Linked DNA regions of Arabidopsis thaliana. The protein of the gene in region 2 interacts with the protein of the main gene of each other region in a pairwise test. Each region holds a gene or a part of one and is shown on either strand. Other genes may lie near its edges.

Region 1 (12,758 bases), on a different chromosome or scaffold from region 2:
GATAGAGAATAAGAGATTCAAATTATGTATTTCATGCACAACCGATTAATTTCACAGCTTGATTTTTGTTTCGAAGCAGAGAGGAAGCGAAGTTTGATATACGGACTAGGAATAACTTAACCCTAAATCGGAACTCAGAGAAAACAGAAACGAAACCTAGATCGAAATAAAACCCTAAATCACCTGAAAGGTTAAATTCCACCGCAAGCAAGCGTGACATGTACACTAGCTCTATTCATCGTAATCTGAGAGCAAAACCGGTTGACGCTTGAGGTCAAAGTCAAACAGAGCAACCGATGAGAATGTGAAAAGAAAGTTCACGCGCGCGTGTTGTGACGATGCGATTCCAACAAGTTACGTCTTTTTTTCTTAAATGTTTTAATTTAGTAGAGATATTAATAATATAATTTTTGAACATTTATATGGATGATATAGCCAAATTTTACCATTTTATTTAGTACTTAACAGCACATGAAATTTTTTGTAAAGAAGCTAGTAGTTCTATTTAGTCGAGATTAAAAAAACAAACTAACTTACCTGAATTTCTTTTCATACTAGTACACTATTTCATATTCACAGTCTTTATTTAAATCATACATGGAAAAATATTAATACTACCACATGATTTTGGCAAAAAAAAAAAACTTTCCAAAAAGCTATACATCCAAGTAACCCTAGTCCCTTTGTCTACCAAATTGGTTTGGTGTGAGTAAAACTTATGAATTACCGAGAAGCACCTCTAGCCTAATTGCGTTCCACCTGCGACCGTCTCTTTTCACCCGAGAGTTCGACTCTGCCGCATATATGGCTTGGCTTGGCCGCCCAAATTTTATTTATTTATTACCTCGTCTCATGGTTGGCAGCAGTTTTAGAAATAGTTTCTAATTCTGGAGGAAATAAAAAAACAAAAACAAATGTTCAACAAACATGTATATCTTTTTGAGAAGCACGTGTGACGTGTTGAGCAGATAATGAATAGAGATATGCAAAGTGTGTGTGATACAACCCTTTAATCAGTATTCACCAGTGAAATTCATCAAGATCTTGCTGTTCCAGCTGAAATTAGTCTGGACTTTTATGATGTAAGACGATCCTTCTACTGTATACTAAAGAAAACTATAACGAAACAGGGATATAGACCAAAACAAATCTGAGCATTTTAATTTGTTCTACAAAGCTTTTATTCAATATTTAGAGGAATTAATTTTGGTTGTACATATTTTTCAAGGAATTTCTTTTTTTATAAACCGTTTAAAATTAGTTACCTCTTTCTGCATTGTTCCTTAGCTTGAGTTCTTGCGATCTTTACCATATAACACCTATGCGCGACACAAAGTAACGTGTAGCCAAGGACAACTTGCCGATCATGTTACTTTTTCTTTTTGGTTTTATATATCTTGTATTTTATACGGAATAATATATCCTAATTTCTTCCTGAATCCTTCAAAAAAAAAAAAAAAAAAAAGTTTGAAACTAAATTGTCTTAATAGAGTATAAAGAAAGATCATTTAAATCGGCAAGTCATCCTTGGCTGCACACTACTTTCGTCACATTCGCGTTTCACTAGCTATACCCACTTGTATATATGAAAACCACAAACAAAAGAAAAATGTATGTGTTTTGTATGTTTCTTCTCGAAAGTAACAATAGAGAATGGAAGAGGAGATCTCTACATATTTGTTTTGGTGCTTATGAATACTAGAGGACTTACCCGCTCTGGGTTTATATAGAAGATGGGTCAGAGATAAGAGAAATAAGAGGGAATAAAATAATTGAATTGAAAAGAGAGAAAGATTTGAGATTTTATGCCCCCAAGAAGGTAGATAAGCAAAAAAATATAATAAAAAAAGATAAGGAAAGAAAAACCTAAATTAATTTGAAAGAAATATAAAACAGTTGTCATATATTAAAGAATTATATATATTCGAAAAATAAAAAGAATTAATGAAAGAGATAAGGTTCCTCCATGCTTCTCCATCCTCATAATATTAGTTTTCTTAAGCTGCAAAAACCTTTACAGCTTTAACAGATGCCATTAAGAGATATGGGGCCATATACATATCTACTCATTCATATACATATATACACATACATCTTCACATAGACACATAAATTGCTCCTGTCTATAACGAAAATTGTCATCTTATTGTTTTCTTGAATTGTGTTTAACCTTCTTTTCCTTTGACCAAAAATGTGAAATTTGATAAAACGTTTAAACAAAATCTCCTATATTTAAATGCTCTCTAAATTAATAAATCATCAAAGAACCTTAATATTAACATATTTGAAAATTTCAAGTTTCTAATTAACAAGCTCAAAAAGGTTTTGGTTAACGACCTAGGTAAATAGATTCTGTTTGAGCAAAGACAAGCATATGCAATAAAAATTTAAGACGAGGGACGTGGTTTGAGAAACAAGACGCACTTGCACAAAATCGACCTGGTTTTGGTAAGTTGATAGGAACTATAAGTTTCTAATTTTAGGACTTACTAAGAAATAACTCACGAGAGAAATAAATGTGTGTAGAAAGAGAGAAAAAGGGACTCTCGTAAACATTTTTAAAAGAAGAAAGAATCTCAACATTTACGTGTAACCCTAGCTAGTTATCCCGACAGGTACTCGAAAGGGCACTATTAAATAAACATCTATATTTTATACTCCGTATAAGTTAATTTATAAACAAGTAATCGGTAAATAGAGACCGTCAGTTATATACATATATATATATATATATATATATATTGTTTCTTTGACAAAAATATGTGTGTATATATATACAAAAATTCACAGAAATCAGCACTTGGAATCTCAAAGTTATCGAAAAGATCAAAAAAGGACCTGCTCGAGTAGGTCACTTTTGCGTGGCCGTACATTTTTATAGTTTTTCATTATTATTAAAATATCAATTTAAGATGTCATATGTTGTTAAACAGAAGATAATTTTTTTTTTTTTTTTATAAAATTTGAAGTGAACGCCACAAGAGATTTTACGTATGAAAGCTAAAGCAAATAAAAGATGAAGCAAATTTGTTAGTTCAACATTGTTCTTTATATTTCAAAATTTGGTTGTTGTTATAGTTCAGGTAATAAATATTTGCGGGGGTGTCTGTCTAAACAAGAAAAATGGATAGTTGAGGAAAAGAAGAAGAAAATGGGTACAATGTGATGTCAGTTGGTGGAGTGGCAGATCGATGGGATTTTCACTGCTCTTTTGGCTCAAACCCCTATGTCTCATGTGCTTCCCTCTATTTGTTTTTTACATATATTTTTGTGCGAAACTGAAAATATTTTTTTCAATAAAAAACCTATACGTAATATTTCTAATCTTTAAATTTCAATTATGTGGCAGTATAGAAAACAAAGTCGTATAAATTCTATCGATAATATGCATTATATGCAAATTCTAATTCGGACGATGACACAAAAATATCGCTAGTATAAAACTAAGCTACATGTCATGGTGACATGATTTTTTATAAATGTTTGTGTAAGAAAAAAAAAGATAAACATTGTTCATAAATGATGCTTTTGAAACTTCTTCGTAATTAGACAAATACAGTCATGTATTTGTTATAGTATAAACTTTGAAAAAAACAGGGATACGAATAGTGTTATGTTAGAATAAATGTAGGAGTATGTATAGTGGGGAAAAGATGAATAGAACCATCGTTTTCGGTCATTTTGATTCTTTATACGCTTCTTTATGGAGAGAGAGAGGTCAATCAAAGAATCTGAAAGATTGATCTTATGACTTTGTCAATAGGTCCATGCAGGGACCATAAGGACCCCAACATATGAAGATGTTTTGCTAAGTATTGAATCATGGAACAAATCAACGAAATAGTCAAAACAAAAGGTCTATCTAGATAAATTATAAACTGCTAATTGCTCAATCGATATTACTTAATAATGACTAAACATGCCGAGGCAAACATTAAATTTGGATTAGAATTGCATGTTGCATGACAAAACTTATATATGTATTCTTACTATTTTCTTAATTGTTCACAAAACTATCATCTATATCTATCTTTCTATCTATCTATACAAGTGATGGTACACACACATGTCCTACCACTCTGACTCTACCGACATTATTGTCCTGAGTTTTTTTCTTCCAGAAAATCTATGTCCGAATCCCCAAATTGATATGAATACGATACTATGAGCACGATAACTCCGGAATATAATCTAAGAAAAAGAAACAAAAAAAATTCTGAAAAAGAATGTAATCCGTTCTCCAGTGTATGTATCTCTGGTTTTTTACTCGTTCTCCATTATTAATTTATGACGTTTAAGAAAGACTCACAAACAAGATGAATAAATGATACAAGGGGATTTTATGGCATATGCAGATTTTGTTTTGAAGTAATAATGTAACAAATCGACATTGAAGTACCTTCCACAATGCGCACTATGCACAAGAAAAGACTCGTCAAAAGCAAAGCAAAAGGTGGGGATGGCTCTTAAGGTCAACAGCTTAAGAATCTTGAGGAGTCTCGAATCTAGTCGGTGTATCGATACCCGCCATACAGCAAAGTCCACTGATCAAGATGAGAAGAAAAACGATTCCCTGCAAAAAGAAAAAGAAAAGGACGAGACATAATCAAAGGCTTTTACGAAATTTTAACACATTGAATTAAATTATCTTCCAGCTAGATATGACCAAGATGCTCATTAAACTTGTCCATTCTATGATGTTTATGAATCTTTCTTGAGAACGATGAATACCAAAAAAACACGAGTAAAAAGAGTAATTACCACTAGTATGCCCTCCAAAAGTGATGACTTAAATTTGCAGAGTTCATCACAGCCAGTAGCAATTTCAGGAGTACTGTTTCCTTTAGCAGTTTCAGCTAGAAACCTTTGGAGAGTTTTGTAAGATGTGTACCAATAAGGATCAGAAACATAAAGAGCTGTATATTTACTGCCGGATTGTTCTACAGAACTAACAAGTTCCAAGAAGCTTTCACCTGCAGAATAGGTCAAAGAATTGCTTAATTTCCTAGTTCTCAAATGATATCTAATTGTTAGTATTATTTTGTAATGATCTTTCCACTTACGCTCTGAATGTGACTGTCCAGCTTGACTATTCGATTCAGAACCCTCGGAACAGAGCACAACCAAGTCAGTTTCTCCTTCTTTCCTTGTTTCTCTTCTAGCAAGCAAATGATCCTGTCAATTATTAATGAGTATTAGAAAGTGAAGTTAAGGGGGTGATAACACTGGGAAGGCATGGGATTAGGGAAAATAAAAACTTAAGAGCAATGAGTATTACTTTGAAAGACTGCAAGTCTGAAAGTTTCTGAATTGTTCCATCCTCAACAAAGCACGAATCTGAGAACACGATATTGCTGACTCCTACATTGTTGGGACAAGCTTCTTTAAGCCCTGAAAGTAACAAATTCTCCATCCTTTCTTCCTCTGGAGCAGCAATATATGGGAATGCCAATGAGAAGTTGGAAGCTGTAAATAGATTCTGTTGAAACAAAGACTTGGATGTTAGAGTATTGTAAACTTTATATCAAACAACTATGTCAGAGATCTGTGTTACGGATGCAATTTCGAAATTTCTTGTTGAAGAAAAGAAAATTTGCACTTACATTCAATGTGTTAACAAGGGCAGGATCTGAGTTCCTTTTTGAAGAAACATCAGAAGACAGTAACTGCAGGCGGAAGAGAACGTGAATATTAGAATTCTCAGCATAACACAGAAGATACAGAGCAAAGACGATTAATTTCCCGCAATATTAAAACATCAGTTTCTTTACAATATCACAACAAGAAACCAAAGATCCACAAGGTCATTTATGCTAATGTTAAAACAACAATACTACATCATTCAATTACCTCTCTGCCTATGAACACAAGTGCAACATCAACAGGTTGCTCAAGCTTCTTCTCTGAGCACTAAACAAAGGAGACAGTAATGACAATAAGAAAAATCATTTGACATCCAGTGAGTTGTAGAATTGAAATCATAAGATCATGAAGAAGAAACCATACCAGAAAGTTTGACCAACCTCCTTGAGTGAAAACAGAACCAACTAGATCCTTTGCAGACATGACCTGATAATTTACAGCCTCATCCAATTCACCATTAGCAGACCTGATTTTCAGAATCACATAAACCAATCAACCCAGTAATCTAAGCTAACTCACATCAGATATCACAAGTCCCAGGCTTTTTACACATTTCCATCAATCAAATTGAGAATTATAGAGAAAACAAGATGCATAACTGGAGATGCGGAGACCAGAGGAAAGCAGGAACTGTGTTCGGAGAAGCCAATCCGATTTCAAAGAGAGAGGCCACAGATAGAAACACCAATAGCGCCACCGCACCAATTTGAATCTTCTTCATCTTCGTCGTCGAAACAATTCTACCGGAGACAAAAGGAAAAAAAATCAATCGAACAATTCCTCACGCCTAACGAAACAATCAGCAAATTCAAAGATAATCACAAACCTAGAGAGATCGAGATCGCTTCCAGAAGTCGATGTATCAGTAGATTTTTATCGAACTTTCAAATCCAGAGAAAGAAGAGATTCATATCTCCGATCTTCAAATCTGGGCGACACATATGAGTAGTCGACATGTAAGGAATTAACGGCGTCGTTTTTGAAACGAAAATCGCTAACCGAGATAACCGGTTTCGGTTATGTTCAGATATTAACCGGTCTGAAGTTTTGGGCTTGATTAGGCTTTTAAAGATTTTCCAATACGGCCCAAAATTTCGTGACTCCGTTAAGCGTCCGTCACTCTGGACAAGAAACGGAAACCTCCTTAAATCTTATAATAACTTCGTCACGATTGAACGGAATATTTCGTTTCCTCATTTTTTTATTTTGTTGCCTCTTCTGCAACGCGATCCCGCCAAAGACACTCTTTACTTTCTCCCTCACGAAAATTCTCAAATCGTCGTTCTCTCTTGATTCACCGATTTCGTTCGCCGGAAAATTGCAATTTAGCATCAGAATCGTCGAGCCATTTTGTATTATGAAAGTCCATTGAAGTAACAAGTAACGAGAGCTGCGAGGTTGAGATTTTACGATGCTTTGTGTTTCGTTACGAAATCGAATACATAATTGGCTTCGCGACTACGTTAGGCTCCAATCTGTCGTTTTGATTCTTATCTATGCTCAGGTAAATCCGTAATCGCTTTGTAGTTGTTTCATTTCCTCCGATTTCACGTTTTTTCTCGTGAATTGTTCGTATCTGTTTGGGATTAGGGTTCTACGATTTCTCTGTCGATATTTGTTTGTTATTCTTTTAATTGTGGTTAGAAGTGCAAGAAACTCATATTGATGAATCATTTGTTTCAGATAGGGTGCGCGTTGATCGGTTCACTAGGGGCATTGTACAATGGAGTCGTGCTGATAAATTTGGCGATTGCGTTATTTGGGTTAGTAGCAATCGAGAGTAATAGCCAAAGTCTTGGCAGAACCTATGCGGTTCTTCTTTTCTGCGCCATTCTTCTTGATGTCTCATGGTTCATTCTCTTCTCCAAAGAGATTTGGTATGTCACTATCCTTGGAACAGCCGTGCTTGTGATCATGATCAAATATTTGGTTTAAGAGTTTGCTCTGTCTTGTTTAATTTTCATTGCATCACATATTGTAAACTGTCCTGAATTTCTCTTGATTGGCTCATCATCTTTTTGAACTGATTGATCTTTAAACCTTTTTTTTTGCAAATCTTTGCTATGTCGTGTTTAGATTCTGTTGAGCCAGTATTCATCTGCTGCCTATAACTGACAAAAGATTTAATTGTTAATGCAGGAACATTTCATCTGATATGTATCAAGTCTTTTACATCTTCTCTGTGAAACTCACCCTGGCTATGGAAATTGCTGGGTTCGTTGTGAGGCTATCGTCCTCTCTGTTATGGTTTCAGATCTATAGGCTGGGAGCTTCTATTATAGACTCTCCATTTCCCCGTCAATCAGATTCAGATTTACGGAATAGCTTCTTAGAACCTCCTCTTTTAGCTAGGCAACGTTCACGTGATCCAGAATTACGAAATAGCTTCTTACAGGCTCCTGCTATAGCTAAGCAACGTTCACGTTCTGACGAAATCTTGGAAGATTCTATTGACGAACCTGCCTCCTACACTCCTCTGTTAGATGGCGGCCTAAGCAATATCACTTTGCCCAATGCAACACAGGTCTTTTTATTTCTACCTATTCTTCTCTTAAGTTGTTTGTGTACTCATTGTAGTTGAGGTTTTTATACTTGGTTTGTCTATGGTTTTACCAATTGGGTTTCCAGATGCTTCTTTTCGGACCTTTCTTTTGAAACTGTATGCAATATAGTGAGAATTGGATTGAACTATCTAGATCACCCAACCATGCTTTTTAGCTCTTTGCCACTCTAGGTTAGGTGAAACTTGTTTCTCACTAACAAACAAAGGCCACATAGTATTGATATTACATCATAGTATGCTGCTTTTCTTGTCTCAGTACTCCTCTAAAACTTACACAGACATAGCAAGTGGGTTTTCAACCTTTTGTAGGTGATTAAGCACCATTCAGCTGGAGACATTTACAAAGGATCCCAATCATCTGCTGCAGAAGCCTCTCGAAAGAAGTCTCCTCTATCCAGATCCTTAGAAGCACTTCATTCTAGTCTCTGTTGATAGAACATCTAATGATTGTGGACGGTACTATACTATACCTTGCTTTTGGTTAGGTTAACTTTCACACTTGACCTTTTTATAGACATAGAAAGAACACTTGTTGCTTTGGTATATCCTTGGACTCAGTAAATTGCATGTGTTTGTCAATCTACATTACTACTTGCAGCACTGCTCTCAGCTTTTATCATTTTTGCCTGGCAGTTTCCAACTCACTTTTGCAGGAAGATAGCTTTTGTCACGAGCAACTTCATTCAACAATTCTAAGGCCATTCTTTGTTTTCAATTTGAAGAATCCAGATCCGAGATTTACATAGTGGATAACAAGCAAGAACAATGCCTTTATCATCATTCATTTTACTCGGAACTGTATAGAATTGGGGTTATTTGGACTACGAATGTACATTAGCATTCTTTTCTGTACATGAAAAATAGGTGAATCGGAGGGTTAGTATAAACTTCAAAGATAGTTTTTTCATCCAAAATGTTTGGTAAACAGTGAAGTTTTTATTGCAGATTTTTAAAGTAGCAACATGATTTGCCTATGGGGAAATATTCTTTGTAATATCCGTAAGAGAATAGAAGAAACAGATATAAACATAATGTTATCATTTTATAAGATCTAATGACAACTTGAGGAGACTAACTTGGTGCCAGATTCCAGCCATTTTAGTCTCTCTATTTGACTCGAGTTCTCCAACTCATATGATTAAATGAATGATGAATATGGCGTGGCATGGGGCCTAATGTTGAACCACCGGCCCATGTGAATTGCGAAGTTGCGGTACTAATTAATTAATTGGGCCTAATAGTAGCCAAGGAGTTTCGTGCAAATTAATTCTTTGACCTATAAAAATTGGTATAACTTACTTATCCACGTCGGTCTGACTATTATTAAGATGAGATTTGATTAGATTAATAATTTTGAAAAAGGGGTCAAAGACTCAAAAAAGTCTGCGTGGATCTCCAGCCGTTTTCAGACACTTACCCACAAAATATTCCTCTCGGCGATGATCCCTTTCTGCTGAATTTTTGGTCCTTTGTCGCTCGACTGTTTTCTTCGTCTACTATTTGTTCCTTTTGGATATTCTTCGGACTTTTCGTTGATTTGATTTTCAAGAGGTAAGTTAATAAACCGTGTTCCCCGATTCTCCTATTAAAGAGGTTTGTGATGTTTTTGATTTCTAGGTTTTTTGTTGTTTGAATTTTCTCGTTTGAAATCTCTAATCTCTACAAATCTTCCGTGATTGAGTTTTGATTAGTAAAATGATTCGTGATTTGATTTTGATTTCTCTGTTTTTATTATCTCTGGTTGGTTTGGTTTGATCAAGTCTCTGATGCTAGGGTTCGATATCGTTTCTGCATTTCGTAAGAAGAAACCTTTGGTTTAAATCTCAGTGTTTTATTTGGCTATGAAGCAGAGAGAGTTTGAACAAGGAAGGATTGAACTATGGAAGATGCATCAGAGACTAGCTACTGGTGTCACATGTGCTCCCGATCGGTGATTCCATTGATTCAAGACGAAATCATCAAATGCAATTTCTGTCAAAGTGGTTTTGTTGAAGAAATGGATAATAATGATGACCATCAGGCTGCTGATTCTCTCTGGACTCCTATCTTGATGGAGATGATGAACAACAATCACGACCAACATTCTACCAATCAGGAAGACTCAGAATCTATTCTTGAAGATGAAGACGAAGACGAAGATGATGGTGATGATGGTGATCAGAACAATGATGGAGAAATTGATATAACTCATCAACTTGAAGAGATTAGGAGGATAAGGACTAGACATTCAACTGCTATTGTTAATCTGCTTCAGGGGATTCGAGCTGGATTATTGATCGAATCCGAGAACAACGAGGATAATCCCGATAATAGCGAGCTTGTCGTCTTGATCAACTCATTTAACCAAAGGATCAGGGTTCATCAAGATTCTGTAGACACCACTTCTGTTCCTTCTGGATCTTTGGGTGACTATTTCATTGGACCTGGATTCGAGACGTTGCTTCAGCGTTTGGCTGAGAATGATCTGAACAACAGGTATGGGACACCTCCAGCTACAAAAGAAGCGGTTGAGGCATTGGCGATGGTGAAAATCGAAGATAGTTTGTTGCAGTGTAGTGTGTGTTTGGATGATTTTGAGATTGGAATGGAGGCTAAAGAGATGCCGTGTAAGCATAAGTTTCATAGTGACTGCTTGTTGCCATGGCTTGAGCTTCATAGCTCATGCCCTGTTTGCAGATATCTGCTTCCTACAGGAGATGATGATGAGCCAAAGACTGATGCAGAAACATCGAGAAACGATGATAACAATGAAGATATCAGTAATGCTTCTATGGCTAGTAATGGATCATCACCAGACTCAAGTTCGAACAATTCATCGGTTAACTAAACTAAGGCTCACTATCTGAGACAGGTTTACTTGAACAGAGGAGAACTGATGGGATCGTTTGAGATCAGTCTTTAGTGTTTAATGTTATTTGGTTTGCACATAGTTTCTCAGATTTGGTGGAAAATGTATTCTTTGGAATTAATTAACAGTCTTTTTTTTTTTTTGACTTTACATTTTCTTTCTGGTTTGCTTCAATTTGTTCCGATTAGTTACAACTATAGTGACCAGAATTCAAACAGAAAAAAATGTAATAATTTGTGCAGTCATCCCAATCTTCTTTGTGCAGAAGACTTGATCCTGTCTTATGTGTATTATAATTAGTTAATTACGTAACTCTATTACGAATGTTTCAAATTTCTTCACGCGGTAATTTGGAAACCTTAGAATTGTTTTAAAAATAGATTACATTGCAAGGAAAATGTCTACGAAGTAAAAGAATATATATAATGAACCTTAGTCGTATGTTTGATTTGATATAAATACACGTAAGTTTAGAGCTGTATACCGTACCATCAAAGAAATATTCAACTTAAGTTTGAAAAGAAATGAAAAGGAAGTTGTGGTTGATCGGTTCCCTTTTGGTTCTCTCTTTGGTGATTTCATCGAAGGCGGTCTCAGCTCAACCATACAAATTTCGTAAACTTAGTGAGTGTTTTTATTTATGATGTTATGAAATATAATGTAGTATACGTACACTCTTACCCACTCATAACTAGCATTTGATCTATACGTATGTACATAAAATCTTGTTAAGTTGTAGCATATGACATACCACGATACAAAGGCATCAACACGCACACAAAATTTTCAGAGTGTTACCGCGTGAAGAATGACAGAATGGTTCTGCAATTTCTGAAATGGCAGAATGTTCCATAGTTTGGAATTGTTTTCTCGATAACGCAAGTTTACAGAAATGCAGTTTTTTATTCCACTTCTTTACATGAAATTGGTATTACGGTTATTACATAAATTCATGTTCATCCGGGATGAATCATCCCTTTATTTTAATTTATGATTCGCATATTTAATTGATTCATGTTTTGCATTAATCGACAAAGTTGTGTATTATCGATATCTATACTAAGAAGTTACCTAAAATGTCTAGAAGAAGATTTAAGAATGTCAATGAAGATTGGAACACCTCATAGTGACTCGCCACCAGCACACGGATGTAGGGCTGGTGGATCTTGTAAAAAGCCGCCACCGCGAGGCAATGGCGGTTAGAAAAACTGGTTTTGAATGTGTACAAACATCAATATCCTTCCTTTTCTTAGAAATTGACAACGAACCAGTTTATTTTGTATGTATGTATATATGCCTTAACTCAATAAAGATAACGATGTTCATGTTCTTAAAAGCAAATAAGATCCTATCGATACCAAATTTTCATATTTATAAAGTCTTGACTCTTGACTTGTAGATAAAATTTGTAATTCTTTCTCTTGTGTGTGATAATATGTTCGTTTGTTTGAATCAAAAAGACCAAGAAATGAATCCGTATACAAGCATATTATATTTGACCTTTTCCTAATGTACTTATACAAGCATATTTGACCTTTTCCTAATGTACTATGCATATTTTATTTGTTTTAAACTTCTTCCATACGCTATTTGTATATATATATACTTGTATCTAGACTAAAGCCCAAACAAGACTGTACATATCAAATGTCTTATATTTTTGCTATCTAAATGGTGCACCATGCACATTGACTACCCATAACT
Region 2 (11,153 bases):
ATCTCCTAAGTTTTAAATGAATCATGTAAATTTTGACAGGAGGAAGATAAGGCGAGGTTGGTGCAGGAGACGGGTTTGCAGCTCAAACAGATAAACAATTGGTTCATCAATCAAAGAAAGAGGAATTGGCATAGCAATCCATCTTCTTCTACCGTCTCAAAGAATAAACGCCGAAGGTACTTTGCACCAACATAACTTTATAGGAAGAGTATCCAAGAAAAGACAAAATATGATCACACGATAAGATACAATCTCTGAAATATATATATGTTAGGTGTGACAAAGTTTAGCTTGTTTATGTATGGTTAGATTAATGTTTAGTTACATTTTCAAGATATATGGAGTCATTAAATTTGGAGGGTTTTCTTTATGAAGCAATGCAGGTGAAAACAGCGGAAGAGACCGTTGAGATCAAGCTTGCATGTAGAGATCCAAAAGCTTTATAGAAAGGTGGAGGCATGAAGACAAAGAATTCTTACACAACAAACGTAGGACGTAATTTTGTGCCAGTACATGGTATGGCTTTCATATTTGGTAATGATTAGGGCCACACAAAATTAAACCCCAAAGCATGATTTGTAATATGAGGTTTTAGATGGACTTTATGATAGGATCGTCAGTCTTCACTGCCATCTCCATTCTCCACCATCAATCCATCATTATATCTTGTGAATAACATGGAAATTTCTCGTTATGCATTTAATTTGTGCAATCATTGGCCGTAATCTACACAAATATACATATTAATTTAGCTTGAATATATTATCTCAATTAATGGTTTCAATTTTTTTGTTTTGTTTTGTGAGTGGAACCACTTTTTATGTGGAATTGTTAACCCTAATGCCAAAATCTAAACTCTGCGAAGGTCGCCAGCAAACGAAAGAAAGAGATTATCTCCGCCGTTGTCAAAATTATTAAAAGGGATTATAAAGTTTTTCAATTTGGGCCCCTTTCCTGCGTTTTCTTTATTGTCCATTATGGGCCTCATTGTCTCTAGACTCTCTACCTTACAGGGTTTGCTCGCCGACGTTTCATACATAGTCCTCTTGTTTCTAAGGATGCCGATTAACACTTTTCATTTTTATCAACAAACTGGCTTGCAAGGGTTTTGAACCTGAGTGATGACCTACCATTTCTATCCATACTATAATCAGATTTTTTTTTGTTCTTTTTTATAATCAAGTTGGTGAAATAATTAACAACAATACTAGCACAAATCATTAACATAATGGTTCATACCTCATAGCCATATAAGATCATGAAAAAGTTATAGTTTTAGAAGTTTGTTTTTATTTTTAGTTAAAATTTAGTTTTTCCAATTAAGACCGAGTTATTAGTTAACAATGTAAAACTTAAGTAAATGCGATTTCTTTGGATTGGTTTGATTCGACTACAGTAAAACATAGGTCTTTGTTTTGTTTTAACCATAATAAAATCAATTGGATTATAAATAACTTTAGTTCTAATTCCGTTTACACATTTAGGTTTGCTTCAATTATAATCCTTCATGGAGATAGATAGCTAGATTAGTGGTGGTAATAATGTATGAGTTGAGAGAGTCTCTTTTTAGGTAGAATAAGATTGCACATGACGTGGCATTGTGAACGTTGTGGGGTTTTGTGATTGGTCTTGTCTTCTACTTACAAGACAGTCATATGAGAGGAGCATTTTAGAGCTGGCCCAATCATAAAAGACAGCTAGCTCTCTGTGACTCTGTGTTATCCGTTATGTTGCAGCAGCGACGAAAACAATTTGCTTCTTCTTCTTCTCTTTTGTCCTTATAGATAATACTTTTCTTTTCAAAATCAATTCACAATTGCTGAAGATATCAAAGATTCGTTATCTGAAAGTGACGCAGAAAAAGTACACAAAATAAAAGTGTTAGTGGGTAACTGGAGGATAGATAGAGAATATAAACAGAGAGGACGACAAAGAAGTTCAACATTCTCTCTAGTTTATCGCGCGCTTCTTTCTGTTACACGTTAGCCAATCTATGAGGAACATTTTCTGATTTTTTTATATGTAAGTATATTAGGATAATCATTGATACAAATATTCGATTCATCTGGTGTTTCTCTAAAAGATTAGGATATTTATGGGAGAAGAAGCTCTTCCTCGAACACCAATACGAGGAAATAACGTTCAATGAAGTTTGACATTACATCTTAATATTATATTTTAAGATATTTTTTAATATGCGATGAAGGAATTCATCTATGTAGTACGGTAACAATTGCAAGTTGAGGACGTCACGATTTCATTAGTTTTTATGGCATATCTATATTCGTCGTTGGGGACACGATGCAAGTATATTATTTTTTTTTGATAAAGCAAACTTTACAGTTGACAAAAAAAAATTACACCTTTACAATTTACAAAATATATGTTTAAAACATATCATAATACATTTGTTAATTAGAAACACTATGGATTTATATAGAAAATGTACTGGACTAATGGTGGATACAAATATCTAAAATGGAAACAATCAATGACGATGATTGATATTGAATGTTGTGACTCGATAGGAGATCAAGTCTAGAGATAGTTGTAAGGGAAAAAGTAGAAAAGAGTATAATACACTAAAAATGTATAGTAGACAAAACGAGCAAGATTTGAGGCATCAGAAGAGAAAGAGACATGTCGACCGGTGGCAAGTGGTAGGTATCACTATGTAACAACACAAACGTCAAAACATGTGAGAAAGCGTTTTTGCTTCGCTTTTCTTTTTCAATTTTCCCCACTTCACTTCACTTCACACAGTCACACTCTTATCCTCAGTATCTCCACTTCTTTTTTCAATGAAATGTTGTGGATAAATAATACGATAATTGGCATCCACTATCTTAAACCAGCTTTGTATGACTATGCCCGTGACAGCTTACCAGAATCTCTGTGTTTTGATTAATACTATTTCCAGACACTAAAGGTTCTTTTTTCCTAACCTAATTCATAATTAGTCGAAACGTAAAGATTGATTCTTCTAATTATTAATATTCATATATAATTCCAGTAGCTGAATCAGGTTCCTGTGTTCTATCTAAAAGTATACTATACAAATAAAAACCTTTTTCTTCTCGACATGAGTTTAATACTATATGAATATGACTACACAAATATTTTTATATTTTTTGAAAAAGATAAATATGTTGATGTTGTATACCCAAAAAATTGTGTTTTAGCTCCAAAAAAATACCAATGTCTTGCTTCAACGGTCTCAATGATCACGATCCATAAATCATAAATTTTATAAAGTTCAAACGTTTCTAGCTACAAGCTAGTTTCATATGATGCCGACACATTAATTCATAGCTTTCGTCTCTTGTCCTGTAATTAGTCTTAAATGCTTTATTTCACCCATATATAGCTTTTCACTTGACTCACGTTTCAACTCCGTTCTACCAACACTGATTTAATCCTCATCAGTTCAAAAATCTCCCTCACTCATCATTCTCTGCTATAGTTCTTGATGAATAAAAAACTCTAACCATCTCTTGTTCCATCTAAATACAATGTGGTAATTAATGAACGCTAAGATCAAATCAAGATTTGAAATGATGGAATCAAATATGCAATGATTAACCATCTATTAGATCCACACCATTATTTTAGGGTTTGTCCGTAACAGTTTATGAACAATTCAACAAAGCGCATAAAGTGAAATGGATTAAATTTGTAAGAAACATAGAAAATGTTTCTGCTTTTTATTTGCACACATCAATTTTACAAGTATATCAAATCAATATGGCGAGAGAGCATTTACATACACCTGACGTCATATTCTTACGTCATTTCTCCGGCGAACAGTTACATTCCACCGTCACACACAAGAAAACGAAAAGATATTTTTTTAAAGAATCTTTTTGTAATTAATTATTCCGTCAGAAAGAGATCAAATCAACCGTCGCCGATCTCGTCTTGGTCACCGGCGACTGAGGCAACCTCGCCGTGAAATTAGGAAAAGAACCATCGTCATCAGCTCTCACATTATCCTCGAAATTGAGCGCGTAACTCAACGGATCGTAACTGAAATCTCCAGGATAACTCTGGCTATGATGATGATGATGAACACAATTATTATAAGCACAATTGTTGTTACGACACGTAACCTTGATACGTGACTTCACACGCCGGCACCGATCTCTTAACTCTAGCTCCTGCGCCGTAGATTTGAGCCATTCGTAAGGAGATCTTGGTGTTCTTTGTTCTCCTCCGATCATCATGGCTTCTGGCTCAACCACCGCGTTGGCTCCTATACAACAGATCGGAGATCTCATTCTGTGATTTGTGACTCTCGTTGTTGATCTTGCGGTGGAGGGAGAGCTGCATTCGTTATACATTCTTGATCTTGTAAATTTTGTTTCTTTGAGGGATTTGTAAAAAAATACAGAGGAAAAGATTATATGGTTTCTTGAATTAGGAAAAAAGAAGACAAGTGAGGGAAAGAGAATGTGTCTGGTGAGAATAAATAGGAAAACAAAAAAGAAGAAGATAAGAGAGAGTAAACAAAACTCCGTGGATAATGCGTGGGCTTTTGGGCCTGATCCGCGTTTTCTTGCTAAAGTTATTTTTGTTTTGTAATAATAAATATTGCTACTTGTATAATATATAGTTTTCACCATGATAGTGCTGCTAGAGAAATTTGTTGTTTTTGACTTGAACTTTAAAAGAATCAATTTTTATTGGAAATAAGTGTATATAACAAAGGTGTTGCTACTATGTTATGAACAAAAAAAAAAAGACTTTTTGCTGTTCTATTGTAATTTGAAAAACAAATAGAGTTCCGAATGAAAAATATAAAAGTGTCTCCTTTTTGCATCTCTAATTGCTTCCATTCTCCACCACCAAGTTTCACTCGCTCTGCGTCGTCCACATCCAAAAAATAGTGTCTCAGAGGCCAAAACTTCCAACCATCTCTTTCTTGGCTTTGCTATAGTATAGGTTTAAAGTACTAACTATGTTTACCATCTCATGTTCTGAGTCTGAATCTGAAAGCTCCTCCTGCGAAATGATACCAACACACAAATGCAACAAAGTTATAACTATACTGCGTATATGTATTACTATGTCACCATGATTCCATTAGTTACATCTGTGGTAAGTCGAGGAGAGGAGGTATTGTCTGCATTTTGATCAGATGCATTGAAATAGAGATCGGAATGTTGTTGATTCCTCGATGATCTCCTACGTGATATAATTCTTATCCTCCTTCCTGCTCTAATACTTGTTTGCAGCCAAGAGTGATGTGACTATATGAAGAAAAAGGTCAAAATGTGTATGTGTCAATGAGTGATACATAAATTGGTGATGAAGAAAGAGACAGAACAAACCTGTAACCGATTTTGACCTGTTGGGGATATGAACACTGCACGACCAACATCATCCTGAGATACATACAAAAGGATAAGTGTTATATTGTAGTCGTAGACATACACATAAACGCAAAGGCATCTACAAGCTAATTCGTCTTAAAAATATTAATCAGATACATATGTACACACTTGTGTTTCTCCCATGCTAATTCTTGAGGTGCCATGGCCTAACGCAAGAATTGAACTTCCTAAGTGACACAAGAGGCTTCCTGATTCAACCACTCTTTCTTGCCGCAATCTTCGGGCTGATGGGTCCGTAACATTTACTTGATCCACAAGCAACATTGAAATATTCTGCACAATGAAAACAATTTTATCCCAAAATCAAAAAACATATAATGGAATGTGGTAAAAACTCGATTCAAGAGAAGAAGACAACATACTGATAAACATTCAGCAACTTCACCAATCAACAATCGCCTTGTCGTATGTGCCAACTCCCCCCAATGACATTCTCTTGCGATCAGATCCTCCCTGGAACGGTTAGGAGCTTGCCAGTTGTTATCATCATTGTTACCTAGAAAATTCACAATACAAAATGTCACAGAAATTCAGAGATTTTATTTCAACTAAATAGAAACCATGTCTAACCATATGTAGCAAACACTTGTCTTATACGATCCAGATGTCGAGATAAGGTTGTGATAGAATCTGGAATCACCTGCAGAATGACCAATAGATATAATTTTCATGAGTAAGTTAAAGAGTGTGTACCCTGAGAATATAAGAAACCTTTTACAATGACTTACAACAGATGGTGTATCATATCCTCTTGCGGTCAGTTGATAAGAATGGTCAGTCAGAGTCCCCTGGCCAAATAAAGGAGAGATAGATGCTTACTTCTTGAATCTCAAGTGGCCCTTAAACATCAAAGAAGATACAAAAGAGAGCAAGAGAAACTCACTCGACCAAGATTTGAATTAGCCGCTGAAAAAGAATTTACCAACTTAGAGAATTAGTATTTTACCAAGTGTTAATTTAGAGACTATTGAGAGAATATACACCTGCATTACTAGAGAATAGTGGAATTGGTGGTGATCCTTTTACCAAATACAGAGTGTGGCCTTCTTCAACATCTAAGATTTAACCCATTTAAAGAAAGATTCATTCGAAAAATGAAACCAAGTATTATGAGATGCGATGAAAAAAACAAAGGCAGGATACGATAATCTGATAAGCGTTGATCATTCTTCAAAACTCTTCCCCGGAATAACAAGCGAGGTTGTCGTTCCGGTGAAACTCCACAATAGTAACAAATATCCTGCTTCAGATCTCGTACAGGTATCTGCAAACCATAGAGAAATAAGTCTATAGCAGAACAAATATGATGCCATTGGTTATCACAACTAATGATCAACCAAGAAACCATTATGGAATACAGAAGGACACAAGGAAACACACAATTTTTAACCATAAAGAACAATCTTACAGTTCTCTCAACACTTAAGGTGTGAGTTGTAGAATGCAATATCTTAATCTTTATCCTAATCAAATCCGTGAAATCGTGCGTGTCTCCCATTCCTTTCAAAAGCTTTTGAAAAACCTGAGAACAAAATATACAAAATCCAATCAGAGACGAAAACACTAAACCAAACCAGCCAAAGACTAAACTTTTATCATCAGAATCTCCATATTTGGTGACTGATTATGAAAAGCTTACTCTGCGATCACCATTCACCACCAATATACAAACTTTGATCACCACGCAAACTCACCATTCGCTACTAACTTTAATCAAGAAACAGAGAAAACGATATTAACTAAAACCCTAGAATATGGAGAGCGAAAGAAAGCATCACGAAGACGAACGATGAGATTAGGAGGAAGAGATACCAAATGCGAAAGAGTAAGTAAGAACTTGAGAAAATCGTACAGATGGAGAACAGATTTCGGTGTGATGCTTGAACCCTAGAATCTCATCCACGATCCTGCAGAAAGATTCCTTTCTTTCTTCTTTCAATTCTGTTTTTTTTCCCTCTGCAAGAGACCTCTCAGTATAACAGATTCAAACAGAGCTTTATGCATTGCTGTTATAACGTTTGGGAAAATAACAAATATAACCCTGATTTGTTTCGCTTTTTCGTTTTAGACCTTGATATTTATATTTATATCATAAAGTCCTGAACATATGTAGAGCAAATTAAACGTTTCCATGTATAAACGGTGTGTTTCAAATTTCAATTATAGAAGTTTTTTGTTTTGTTTCCATGTGTTTCTTCTTAAAACTGAAAAGAAAAGGAATAAAAAAACGCGATAATTTTGAATCGAAGTTTCACAGAATCATGTATAATTCTCATTTTCTTTTGTATGATGAAAGAAGTGGACTTAGGCTACCAGAATCTCCGAGGGAAAAAAAATTGAAATTGTGTATATGGGCCATGCTGGCCCGTTGTTTTTAAGGGTATGCAAAAAAGATTTGGGTTCTGGGTCCATTACCCAATTTAAAAATATTTATTCATAGAAAGTGTTCTAAACATTTTTTTAACACAGAGGCCTAACTGCTATTGATTTTAGCTCTAGACCCTATTGTTGAGGAGAAGATGATGATTCTCCATAACTTTGGTGACTATTTTTTCGTCGTTTTAAAACTCTTCCCTATAACATGCAACCAAGTTTTTAGTGCATTTTATAAATTAATATTGTTGTTTCTTGGTCTTCTATTGGCGGGATGTCCATCATGGTCTCCAATTCTCTATTTGAAACTCATTAGTCAATCATGTTTAATTATTACAGTAGTTTTGTAACGCAACTTTAATTTAAGAAAAAAATTACTGTAATTTCTTATTTGGCTAAACCGTTAAACTGTAAATTGAGACAATTATAATGATTCTATATTCATATCATATCGTCGCATTTACGAGCCCTATATCGGGAATCTTTTAATTTCAGTTTCCTCTTTATATCTTAAAAAGTCAATGATTAATGCAATTTATGGAGTATAGGTGGGTTGGTGTGTGTTGCAATTACAACCTATGGCACGACAATATCTCTAGGAACAGTCTTCTCGTGGGGTTTTAACATTTATTTTTGATTAAAGTTGTTTTTACAAAGTATTAAACGGTGCAAAACTGCGAATTGTACAATCAAAAATAAAAAGATATTCAAATCAACAGCAATTTTCTAAATAAAATAAAAATAGTTATACTTATTTCACTAAATAAAATGAAAGTAAAGCAGAAATATGAAGAAAAAAAAAGTAATAGTAAAAGAAAGTTCATCTATAAAGAACTGGTGAACTCTTTTTAGCTATATTCCTTGGTTTTTCTACGAGTAACACCATTTTAGTGTAACATGTGTTTAAGTCTGGAGTGGATGCATTCTCGGTGGATGTCATGTTTTTCGATCATATATATATATACACAATACTACAATAAGATGCAACGGGTTACCACTTACCAGTAGCTAAATCAATACTTGCATGAAGGTAAACGGTTAAAAGTTAAAGCTAAGATAACACTAAGAAATCACGATACTTCTTCAATTTTAAGATAGAAGAGTTAATATTGATATGATTGAATCCTTTACAACCAAAAAAAAAAAAAAAAAAAGAATACCATTTTTGGTAAATAAGGTTTTTAAGATCGTTAGTTTCTGGATTGTTTAGATAATACTAAGATTTTTATTTTTTTTTGTGCACCAGATAATACTAAGATATTCAAATGTCTCTTTTAGTGGATGGTTATTGATTAACCAAATATACAAACAGATGTCGAAATGAAGAAGAAAAAATGGCAAATCAGCATAATATCATAATTATTGAAATCTGTACATTATAATATTGGATGCTAGTACAACATCATTGCTACAACCACTTTAATAAAATGAAAATATCAGAGAGAGAAATAAAGCATCATATCCTTTGTAATATGATTCTCAAACTCGAGTCAAATTAAATATTCCTTACAATTTACTATTTACCAATTACTATACTCCATAGGCATCGAGCCCTCTCTATTCAGTTTTACATTCTCGAAGCACCTTTTTATATCGTGCATGAGATATCGGACATATAATGAAGAAGATTGTAACACGCTTTATACTCGCCAAAAAAGATATCAACTTAACAAATGCTGATAAAAATAGATACAGAAGATTACTCTTGATCTATTTTTTTGTGTGAAATTACTCTTATGATCTTATCGCCACTAGAGTAAAAGAGTTTCCTTGTAAAAAAAGATTTGGAACAAATATTTGTTTTCACCGAATAATTTTTTTATCGGATGTCCCCGAAGGGACTTTCACCAAATAAAGGTGAGTCCAGATGATTACTAGTGGACTTTTGGATTGTAATAAGAACGAATAATCACATGACCACGACCAGGCCATGACCATGACCATGTTAAATAAATCCAACTTCCACTCTAAATCCAGTGTCAGACATTGGATCACCAGTTAAACACTTTTGGCTCTTGGATTGTTATGATGCTAGTAGAAGCCTGGACACGTGTGACATAAATCTATACGTGTCGTAGTAATGTGGACGTGGTGGTGTGAGTGTTGTAGCCTATTGCTTTATCACATTGTGTGTCCCGACCATACAAAAATAACTGTTTTGTCCCTAACTTACCCAACACGACCTCCATGTGCCCCGCATCATTGTGATCTACTACTATTTTCAATTATATTTATTGCCTAGATTCGTCTAAATCAACTGTTTACAATCGTCGTACCCACCTAATCATATACTAATGTCTAATATTAGTTTTACTTTCTTTTAGTTTTTATCAGGTATAATACTATTTTAGTGGTATTAACGTTTGATAGGTGCTACTAAGAATTAATTACACACAAAATATGGATTCTGTCAAGACCAATTTAGACAAAATGTGAAACGAGTAGATCAGACCTTATTAATAATCTCAATCATAATTCTCTCTTAAATATTTAATCAAATTAGACAAAATATAGGTCGTTTCTGACCGTCAAACGTTTAATATCTGTAGAAACCGTGTTTAAAGGTTTAGTTGGTAAGAACTCTCTGAAATGTATCCATCAAATTCTTAAAATTGATATTCTGCACCAAAACTATTACTGGCAATAATCTGTCTAAGCATATTTTGTATTTTGCGGTTAAGGACGCATTGGAATAAGACATATATTATTACTATGGTTGAGTTCATCACCAAATTCCTTCTGCAGAGAAGCTGTTATACCTTTAAGATAGCATATAAATGTTCTAATACATCAGAATAGTGTTCGAGTCAGTAGTTCCATCAATTTGTAGGGACTCTTTAGGTCTAATATGAAACACAGTTGCATGGATCTCCTCCACCGTAACAACTTTATACCAAATGCTAGATTCGTTGTTGTTGTTACATTGCTTTTAAGCCCATTCAAGAGTTTGGCTAACTCACCAGTAGGTTTAAGGTGAAAAGTTGTTGAAATATGTTAAGTGTTACGTGTTGAGTAACTCTTGACTAATTATGATCATAATACGAAATTCTTAAAGTGTTACGAATTAACGATTGGCATTGCCTTCCAAAAAACTAGCTATATCAAGTCCTCTCTCTTTGGCCCTTTTTTATTTGGTAGTGAGCTGTTATTTCTTCTTCTAGCATTAAACCATCTTGAAAGGAAACAAACCAGCAAACGTAGGTACTTTTAATGATGGTGTCAGTTAGATCATAGATGTAACTTTATATGTTACCTTCATGTTATAAGATTTCTATATTGATGTTGTTGGGTATTAGCAACTAGTATTGATGAACCCAAAAAAAAAAAAAACTAATTTTGATATTTATTATAAAAAAATAATAATTAGTAATTAATATTTGATGTTAA

The links.
Region 1: the proteins of AT5G11070 (region 2) and AT3G13410 interact in a protein complementation assay, tested with the Arabidopsis thaliana proteins (one large-scale study listed by BioGRID).

What each region holds. Positions count from the first base shown.
Region 1 is NC_003074.8:4,357,669-4,370,426, forward strand, and holds AT3G13410 (2-C-methyl-D-erythritol 4-phosphate cytidylyltransferase), read right to left. Parts: upstream 6,649-12,758; 5' UTR 6,470-6,648; intron 6,384-6,469; 5' UTR 6,365-6,383; coding exon 6,243-6,364; intron 6,110-6,242; coding exon 6,007-6,109; intron 5,911-6,006; coding exon 5,851-5,910; intron 5,667-5,850; coding exon 5,604-5,666; intron 5,480-5,603; coding exon 5,279-5,479; intron 5,176-5,278; coding exon 5,064-5,175; intron 4,974-5,063; coding exon 4,762-4,973; intron 4,574-4,761; coding exon 4,481-4,573; 3' UTR 3,967-4,480; downstream 1-3,966. Other genes in the region: AT3G13404 (uncharacterized protein), read right to left, coding at 869-887, 1,266-1,312; AT3G13403 (Defensin-like (DEFL) family protein), read right to left, coding at 869-1,007, 1,124-1,158; AT3G13420 (uncharacterized protein), read left to right, coding at 7,055-7,147, 7,327-7,520, 7,783-8,167, 8,516-8,638; AT3G13430 (RING/U-box superfamily protein), read left to right, coding at 10,086-11,033.
Region 2 is NC_003076.8:3,512,559-3,523,711, forward strand, and holds AT5G11070 (uncharacterized protein), read right to left. Parts: upstream 4,478-11,153; 5' UTR 4,341-4,477; coding exon 3,882-4,340; 3' UTR 3,534-3,881; downstream 1-3,533. Other genes in the region: KNAT4 (homeobox protein knotted-1-like 4), read left to right, coding at 40-176, 376-409; AT5G11080 (Ubiquitin-like superfamily protein), read right to left, coding at 4,891-5,001, 5,091-5,249, 5,331-5,384, 5,502-5,666, 5,756-5,889, 5,964-6,033, 6,122-6,181, 6,277-6,299 and 3 more.